Linked DNA regions of Lepisosteus oculatus. The protein of the gene in region 1 interacts with the protein of each later gene in a pairwise test. Links are inferred from orthologs where the notes say so. Each region holds a gene or a part of one and is shown in the gene's direction. Other genes may lie near its edges. The genes, in order: rgl2 and ras-related protein Rap-1b.

Region 1 (3,914 bases):
ACTCCACTGACACTGACAGAGCAGTCTGACACTCTCCAGGCTGGACTGGACTGACTGGACTGACTGGACTGGGAGCTGGATTAGTTATTCACTGGGATTGTAATCAGAATTGTAATCAGTTACAAAGAAAGGTGTATTTCTCTTCCTTCTCCAAGAGCTGGAGGTGTGTTTGTTTAGTATTTGCATGTTGGCCGAAACTGCAGAGAGAGAGAGAGTCAACCGGTTTAATGCAAAGTAGAGAGAGAGACAGGGAGTGTTTTCTTTGTGTTTCTCCTACTAAATATACATATAAACACACACTGGCTGAGTGTCTCAGCAGAGAGAGAGCAAGGAGAAACAGACCCTGATGAAGGACAGGCTCAGTGACCACAGCCTGGACAGACACTGGACACAGGCAGACCTGACTACACAGAGAGGACAAGCTCAGTGACCATAGTCTGATAGACACTGGACACAGGCAGACCTCACTACACAGAGAGGACAGGCTCAGTGACCACAGCCTGGACACAGACACTGGACACAGACAGACCTGGCTGTCCAGAGAGGACAGGCTCAGTGTCCACAGCCTGGACACAGACAGACCTGACTACACAGAGAGGACAGGCTCAGTGTCCACAGACACTGGACACAGGCAGACCTGGCTGTCCAGAGAGGACAGGCTCAGTGACCACAGCCTGGACACAGACACTGGACACAGGCAGACCTGGCTGCCCAGAGAGGACAGGCTCAGTGACCACAGCCTGGACACAGACACAGAACACAGGCAGACCTGGCTGTCCAGAGAGGACAGGCTCAGTGACCACAGCCTGGACACAGACACTGGACGCAGGCAGACCTGGCTGTCCAGAGAGGACAGGCTCAGTGACCACAGCCTGGACACAGACACTGGACACAGGCAGACCTGGCTGTCCAGAGAGGACAGGCTGTGCTCCCACTGCCAGCGGGGAGAAATAGAGACTTTCTGCTGCACTGTGAGAAGCACTCTGGGATCTGACAAACATTCCTCAGTGTCAATCAGTGCGTCAATCAGTGCGTCAATCAGTGTGTGAGTCTCAGATAGTGTGTTAATCAGTGTTTCAGTGTGTCAGTCAGTGCATTAATCAGTGTGTGAGTTTGTCAGTGTGAGTGTATCAGTATGTTAGTGTGTCAGTCAGTCATTGTGTCTGTGTGAGTGTGTCAGTCAGTCAGTGTGTGAGTGTGCGATTGTGTCAGTGTGTCAGTGTTGTCATGTCTGTCCGCTAACTCCCTTTGTCCTCTCCCCCTGTGTCCGACAGTGGTATGAGCCATGCTCCCCCGCCTGTGGAGTGGTGGTACGGACCTCCCGGGAGGGGAGGAGCCTCAGGGCGTGACCCTCAGTGGGTACCGCCCCCTGGAGACGCCGGGTGAAGGGAGGTGGGCGGAGCCAGGCGGCTGGACGCAGGCGGACACGCCCCCGGTGAGTTCCCCGTCTCACAGCCAGGGGTCAGACCCGAGCTCCCCGGATCTACCCCACGACACACAGCCCGAAGTAGGGAGAGGGATTGAGGAAGAGGAGGGAGGGGTCAGAGGGTGGACGTGAGGTCACGGCTAGTTCCTGCAATTGTCCACACTGACAATGGCACTTCCTGAACCCAGAGCACTGAGAGACGGGCAGGGAGACTTCCTGTATAAAACAGCCCAGTCCCGTACCTTATAACCCAGTCCAGTGCTCTCCATCCCAGCCCAGTGCCCTCTGAACCAAAAGAGAGTCTCAGGGGTTCAGACAGAGAGACTCAGGGGTTCAGACAGAGAGACTCAGGGGTTCAGACAGAGAGACTCAGGGGTCAGACAGAGTCTCAGGGGTCAGACAGAGTCTCAGGGGTCAGACAGAGTCTCAGGGGTCAGATAGAGACTCAGGGGTTCAGACACTCAGGGGTCAGACAGAGAGACTCAGGGGTTCAGACACTCAGGGGTCAGACAGAGAGACTCAGGGGTTCAGACAGAGAGACTCAGGGGTTCAGACAGAGACTCGGGGGTTAAGGCAGAGACTCAGGGGTTCAGACAGAGAGACTCAGGGGTTCAGACAGAGAGACTCAGGGGTCAGACAGAGAGACTCAGGGGTCAGACAATGAGACTCAGGGGTCAGACAGAGAGACTCAGGGGTTCAGACAGAGAGACTCAGGGGTTCAGACAGAGAGACTCAGGGGTTCAGACAGAGACTCAGGGGTCAGACAGAGAGTCTCAGGGGTTCAGACAGAGACTCAGGGGTCAGACAGAGAGACTCAGGGGTTCAGACAGAGACTCGGGGGTTAAGGCAGAGACTCAGGGGTTCAGACAGAGAGACTCAGGGGTTCAGACAGAGAGACTCAGGGGTCAGACAGAGAGACTCAGGGGTCAGACAATGAGACTCAGGGGTCAGACAGAGAGACCCAGGGGTCAGACAGAGAGACTCAGGGGTTCAGACAGAGTCTCAGGGGTTCAGACAGAGACTCAGGGGGTCTCCCAGGCCCTGCAGAGCAGTCTGATTCCTGCAGGCTGTTCTGAGGTTCAGGCTGCTCAGGAAGTGCAGGTCTGGTCTTGTCCGAGGTAGCCCTGTCGCGCTGACGTCACTGGGGCTGCGCTCTTCCTGGATATGAGCAGAGCACCGACACACAGGCATGATCTTCCCTTCTGTTCTCAGACTGGACACAAACCGGACCCTGGGCACATGAAGACCACCTGGTACTGTCCACTGGAGCCGGTAAGAGTCTCTGTCTCTGTCTCTGTCTCTCTCTCTGTCTCTCAGTGCAGTGTTCATGTACTGGAGTGTCCAGTCAGTGTGTCTGTATGAACCCCTCTCTCTCTCAGTGCAGTGTTCATGTCCTGGAGTGTCCAGTCAGTGTGTCTGTATGAACCCCTCTCTCTCTCAGTGCAGTGTTAATGTACTGGAGTGTCCAGTCAGTGTGTCTGTATGAACCCCTCTCTCTCAGTGCAGTGTTCATGTACTGGAGTGTCCAGTCAGTGTGTCTGTATGAACCCCTCTCTCTCTCAGTGCAGTGTTCATGTACTGGAGTGTCCAGTCAGTGTGTGTGTATGAACCCCTCTCTCTCTCAGTGCAGTGTTCATGTACTGGAGTGTCCAGTCAGTGTGTGTGTATGAACCCCTCTCTCTCTCAGTCCTCAGCTGTGTCGGAAGTAGAGGAGGAAGGTCTTATCTACACTGTGGTGGTGAAACAGCAGCCCAGTACCTCCAGTGGGACAGGGGTGAGACTTATATGACTCTTCTGTTGTGAAGTGATCTGCAGTTACCCATAGTCAGGGACAGAGGGCGCTGTCCACATTGTAAGACTGTGTACAATCTGAGACACAGGCCCTGCCTACACGTCAGTATCTTCAGAGAGATCATTAAAATATGTGAGAACTGCATCTCTCAGTGTGCGCTGTGTATACCCCTCTCTCTCTGTGTGTGTGTATTAACCCCTCTCTCTCTCAGTGTGTGTATTACCCCTCTGTGTGTGTGTGTGTATTAACCCCTCTCTCTCTCAGTGTGTGTGTATTAACCCCTCTCTCTCAGTGTGTGTATTACCCCTCTCTCTGTGTGTGTGTATTAACCCCCCTCTCTCTTAGTGTGTGTGTGTATTACCCCTCTCTCTCTGTGTGTGTTTATTAACCCCCCTCTCTCTCTCAGTGTGCGGGTGTGTTGACCCCTCTCTCTCTCTCAGTGTGCGGGTGTGTTGACCCCTCTCTCTCTCTCAGTGTGCGGGTGTGTTGACCCCTCTCTCTCTCTCTCAGTGTGTGTGTGTGTTGACCCCTCTCTCTCTCTCAGTGTGTGTGTGTTGACCCCTCTCTCTCTCTCTCAGTGTGTGTGTGTATTAACCCCCCTCTCTCTCTCTCTCAGTGTGTGTGTGTATTAACCCCCCTCTCTCTCTGTGTGTGTGTATTAACCCCCCTCTCTCTCTCCAGCCCGCAGTCTCGCGC
Region 2 (3,914 bases), on another chromosome or scaffold:
TGGAGGAGAACTTTATTTCTTGGCTTAGAGAAAAGTGCTCTGATGATTGAAATTGTCAGGGACCAGACAGAACAGAAAAAGGTGACATTCTCTAGTCTTAGGGGTTGCCAATGCAGCTCTTCCATTTCACTGTCATAAAATTATGTCTACAAAAATGGGTTTTTAAGGATCCCAAATGATTGCGGCTATGCTCATTGCTTGCACCTGGAATTTGTGAGTCTTTTTTTAAAATTGGGCATAAAAGAATTTGGGCTAAAATAAAGTAAAAAATGAAGTCCTCACAAAATCGGAGAGGATTCTTTTTTTACGTCACATCTCCTGTTCGGGGATGCTCTACACTCTTATAAAAAGCTTTCCATCCGATATTGATTCCACACTCAGAAATGGTATTGCAGATATAGCAGATGACCTCTCATCATATTAACATAAAGTTGTAAGTTAATTTAAAAACATTTTTAACATAATAATAAACGATTGTTATAAATATTACTTATCTTAATAATCCAATTCTCTCATTGTTTCTAAAGGCCGTTTAATTCTTTAATGTACTCCTGCAATTTGCAGGACTCTTTGTGGCTAAATGCCAGGAATTTCTTCTGCTAGGATGTGAAGCCGATATGCAGACAACGAAAACATTGGAAACCGTGCTGCATCTTGTTTTTATAAGGACATTTATTTGATTTACGATGGCAAAAAGAGAAAGACGACTGGAAAACGCACCTCATCTGTTTGCACAAATGTAATGCGTAAGTATGGTGCATAACGTCCCACCATACATTTTTATGACAAAGGTTTTGCAATTACAGCACATATTACATACTTAAACATGTAGTAAGACTTTAAATATTATACGACGGCTGTTGTGTGTAATTGCGTAGCGTAAAGACGTAGTATTTTGCTTTATTTTCACGCTGTATGGATGCTACACAGGAACATAAGCCATCGGCAGTCTCGCCTTTCTCTCTGTCCAGTTGTAAATTCAGTTTGTGACTGGTGCTGAAACCGAGGCTGCAACGTCATGCAAAAACTCAAAACCTCACCCAGATAGGAGAGATCGAGAGAGCAGGGCGAGAGGCGCAAACAGATTGGAGCGGCGGAGAGGACGAAACTGTAAGTACTGTATCTGCTTTTATTGTAACTTTTCTACGTTATCTGGAAAAGAGAGGCCGTTGGGAGCGCGTTTCCGAGGCTTTTTAATGTTGACACGAAATGCCGGCGAGGCGGCGGCGCGATAGCCTCTGCGCCGTTGAATACGGGAACCGGTTTTAAAAAAAACGCATTAAAACACGGTTTGCGGAAGAGCAGGTCAAATGTCTCTAAAATATGGCGGAGCTGGGGTGGAAGAGCCCCCAACTCCTAATGTTTTACTTCACAGCGTTTCTCCGGGGCTGCCGTGGCCGCATACTGAACTTCTGAGCTCTGAAAACGTGAAGATGAACCCCCGCCTGGGTGGCAGGAGGCTTGGGGAAATGGCGTTGTGTTGTGTTTTAGCCTGTGACAGCGGAGAAGTTCAAACGGAAATGGAAAAGTTGTCGAGATTGTAGTTCACATTACGAATTCTTTTGGTGTCTCCGGTTCCTAGTCACAATAAAACCCAGCTAAGCAGGCCCGTTTTAGAGTTGGAAGATCTGATTGCTAGCTTTGTGAATCGGAGGAAAGCGAACTAGTGGCAGATGAAGCGTTATTTTACCGGGGTGCGCGTTTTGCAGGCTTGTTGTAAGCAAAGCACTCATTTGGTGTGATGTTCCTGATAACGTGCCCCGCCTAGTTCACAACTGAGTGGGGATAAGGCGAGGCGTCCTCAAGGGGGATCTTTGAGTTTTTCGTCCAAATGTCACTTGATTAGCCCTCACGAAGACACACGTACGAAGAAATGGTCATTTAAGGACTTAAATTAAAACTGGCAAGGAGCCTCGAACAAATGCGATATCTTGAAAAGGGCGAAATCTTTTATCAGTTGGATGCATTTCCTTAAAATCGTCGATTCCGGGTTTTTTTCTGACACAAAGAGGCGTTTTTCCTTTACCCGATGAATGCTGTGATGTGTGGCATGAAAGAATATTGCGCTAAATGTATGCACGGTTTGTCATTTTCTGATTCGATTAAACATCTTGGGTGGTCGTCAGGAGTTTATGCATCGTAGAACAATTTAGTCCCATGTGGCCCAGCTTTAAGCCATCAGCAGACTCGTACCCTGAATTTAATAGGCCTTAGTTTTCGTAGGAGTATAGTTTCCCGTTAAGTTTGTTTTACACGAGTTTCATGGAGCTGTGACCAAACTTTTGTTACCCTTCCATTTTCGCTGGACAGCACGCTGTGTTTTATCCCACCGAGCAAGTTGAGTTTCTTGAATTCGAGTTTGATCGTATGCATCTGTACAAGTATGTGCAGACATCGAAGAAGAGATATTACAATTACCACTCTTTGTCAGTCTTGGATTTTGAACGTTATATGTTGAGCATGTACTCTCTTTTCCCCCAGCATACTGATTCTGGCTGATGGAGAATGCAAAATACTGTCTAACCTCTCTCTAAGTGAACTGTTTTTGTTGTGTGGGTGCGATTGATGTTGGATAAAGTCTGCTGATACATTTTGATGTATTGGTGAGCAAGGTTTTCCTTGAAATGTTACCCGCGCCATTACAATTTTCCCAAGTCCCAGAAGTTTGGCGTTGTTAAAATTCAGATCTGCGCATGGATTGTCTTTGTGTCTGACCATGAAAATGGCATCACTGGTTATCATCTCCATTTCTCCATGGTCTGCTTTCTCCATGCGTTGCAACAGAAAGCATGCTCAGGTCTTGCCTTTGGGAAAGGAAATGGTCCTTGTCTTTATTTCTCCACTCGGGGATCTGCTGCTGTCTGCATGCATGCTAGTAATTCTCTGTTAGCTTGTCTGATGTTTTGTGACACTCCTGCACTGAGCTGCTTTTCTCAAAATCCAGTACCAGGAAATGTGCAGGGAACGCAAATTAATATTTGCCTCCGTAATGCAGCACACATGCAATTTCCCTCGTCTCTTCCTGTAGTTCGGCATTGGGAAGACATATCAGATGCCATTTAGGTTAGGACACTCAGTCAGCAGTGCAGATAGCAATCAAGAAGCAACAGCTGTGGGATAGCATACCACTCTGCAACAAGTGGGACTGATCTATAAAGGTGCACAACAAGCTCCCCCTCCGGTTTTAAAGAGAATCTGCTGAAGAGCCGGGCATCCTCCTAGGAGAGCAATAAAACAAACCGATCGGGATTCAGCAGGTCCGAGTGTCCCGTCTCCTGAAACTCTATACTGCGAGTGCAGAAGGCATCTCCCGGCCTTCAGCAGAACCGGGGTAGGTTGGATGCGTTGGATTACATAAGGGCACCTTGAGCAATTTGGGCTGTCGTTTGCACAAGCAAGTCAGCGTGTCGTTTGGCACACGCGTGTCTGTGGTTCTCCTTTGTCCGTGAAGAAATGCGGCGGCAGCTTGAGTGGGGCCCCTAGTACCGATTGAAGCATAGAAAGGAAAAAAAAGAATTATTGATTCGTCTTTATTCTCTTAAAAGGCTTAGGAGAGCACATTGTGGCGCGTTTGCTGGCTGATGGCCCAGTGGAATGTTACCCTGCAGTCTGTCCCACCTTCCGTGTAAAAGGACGTCACTGAGTGAGCGCACCGTGCCAGTGTGACCTCCTCGTGTCCTGTACGAGGTTCAGGAAGGAACTCCGTGCTTTGGCGTGTCCGCGTGTCTCTTTGCTTTCCGCAGAATGCCGCCAGTGGGACTGCTTTTACAGAGCTGTTGGACCAGATGGGGAAGCGGTGTCTTGTTTGGGTTTGAACCCCTTTTTGAAATGCGATTTACTATTAAAAGTCATTAAGAAACGATTTAGGGATCATTCCGCACTGCCTGCCCAGCAACTGGTTGTAAAGGAACCTG

The links.
Region 2: the proteins of rgl2 (region 1) and ras-related protein Rap-1b interact in a two-hybrid assay, tested with the Homo sapiens proteins (2 studies listed by BioGRID and IntAct). The link is inferred for Lepisosteus oculatus from reciprocal best matches to the Homo sapiens genes RGL2 and RAP1B.

Annotation. Positions count from the first base shown.
Region 1 is NC_090709.1:38,453,014-38,456,927, forward strand, and holds the start of rgl2 (ral guanine nucleotide dissociation stimulator-like 2), read left to right. Parts: upstream 1-1,026; 5' UTR 1,027-1,045; intron 1,046-1,274; 5' UTR 1,275-1,285; coding exon 1,286-1,435; intron 1,436-2,638; coding exon 2,639-2,698; intron 2,699-3,113; coding exon 3,114-3,200; intron 3,201-3,899; coding exon 3,900-3,914. UniProt on the Homo sapiens protein: Probable guanine nucleotide exchange factor. Putative effector of Ras and/or Rap. Associates with the GTP-bound form of Rap 1A and H-Ras in vitro.
Region 2 is NC_090702.1:23,662,878-23,666,791, reverse strand, and holds the start of ras-related protein Rap-1b, read left to right. Parts: upstream 1-973; 5' UTR 974-1,110; intron 1,111-3,914. UniProt on the Homo sapiens protein: GTP-binding protein that possesses intrinsic GTPase activity. Contributes to the polarizing activity of KRIT1 and CDH5 in the establishment and maintenance of correct endothelial cell polarity and vascular lumen.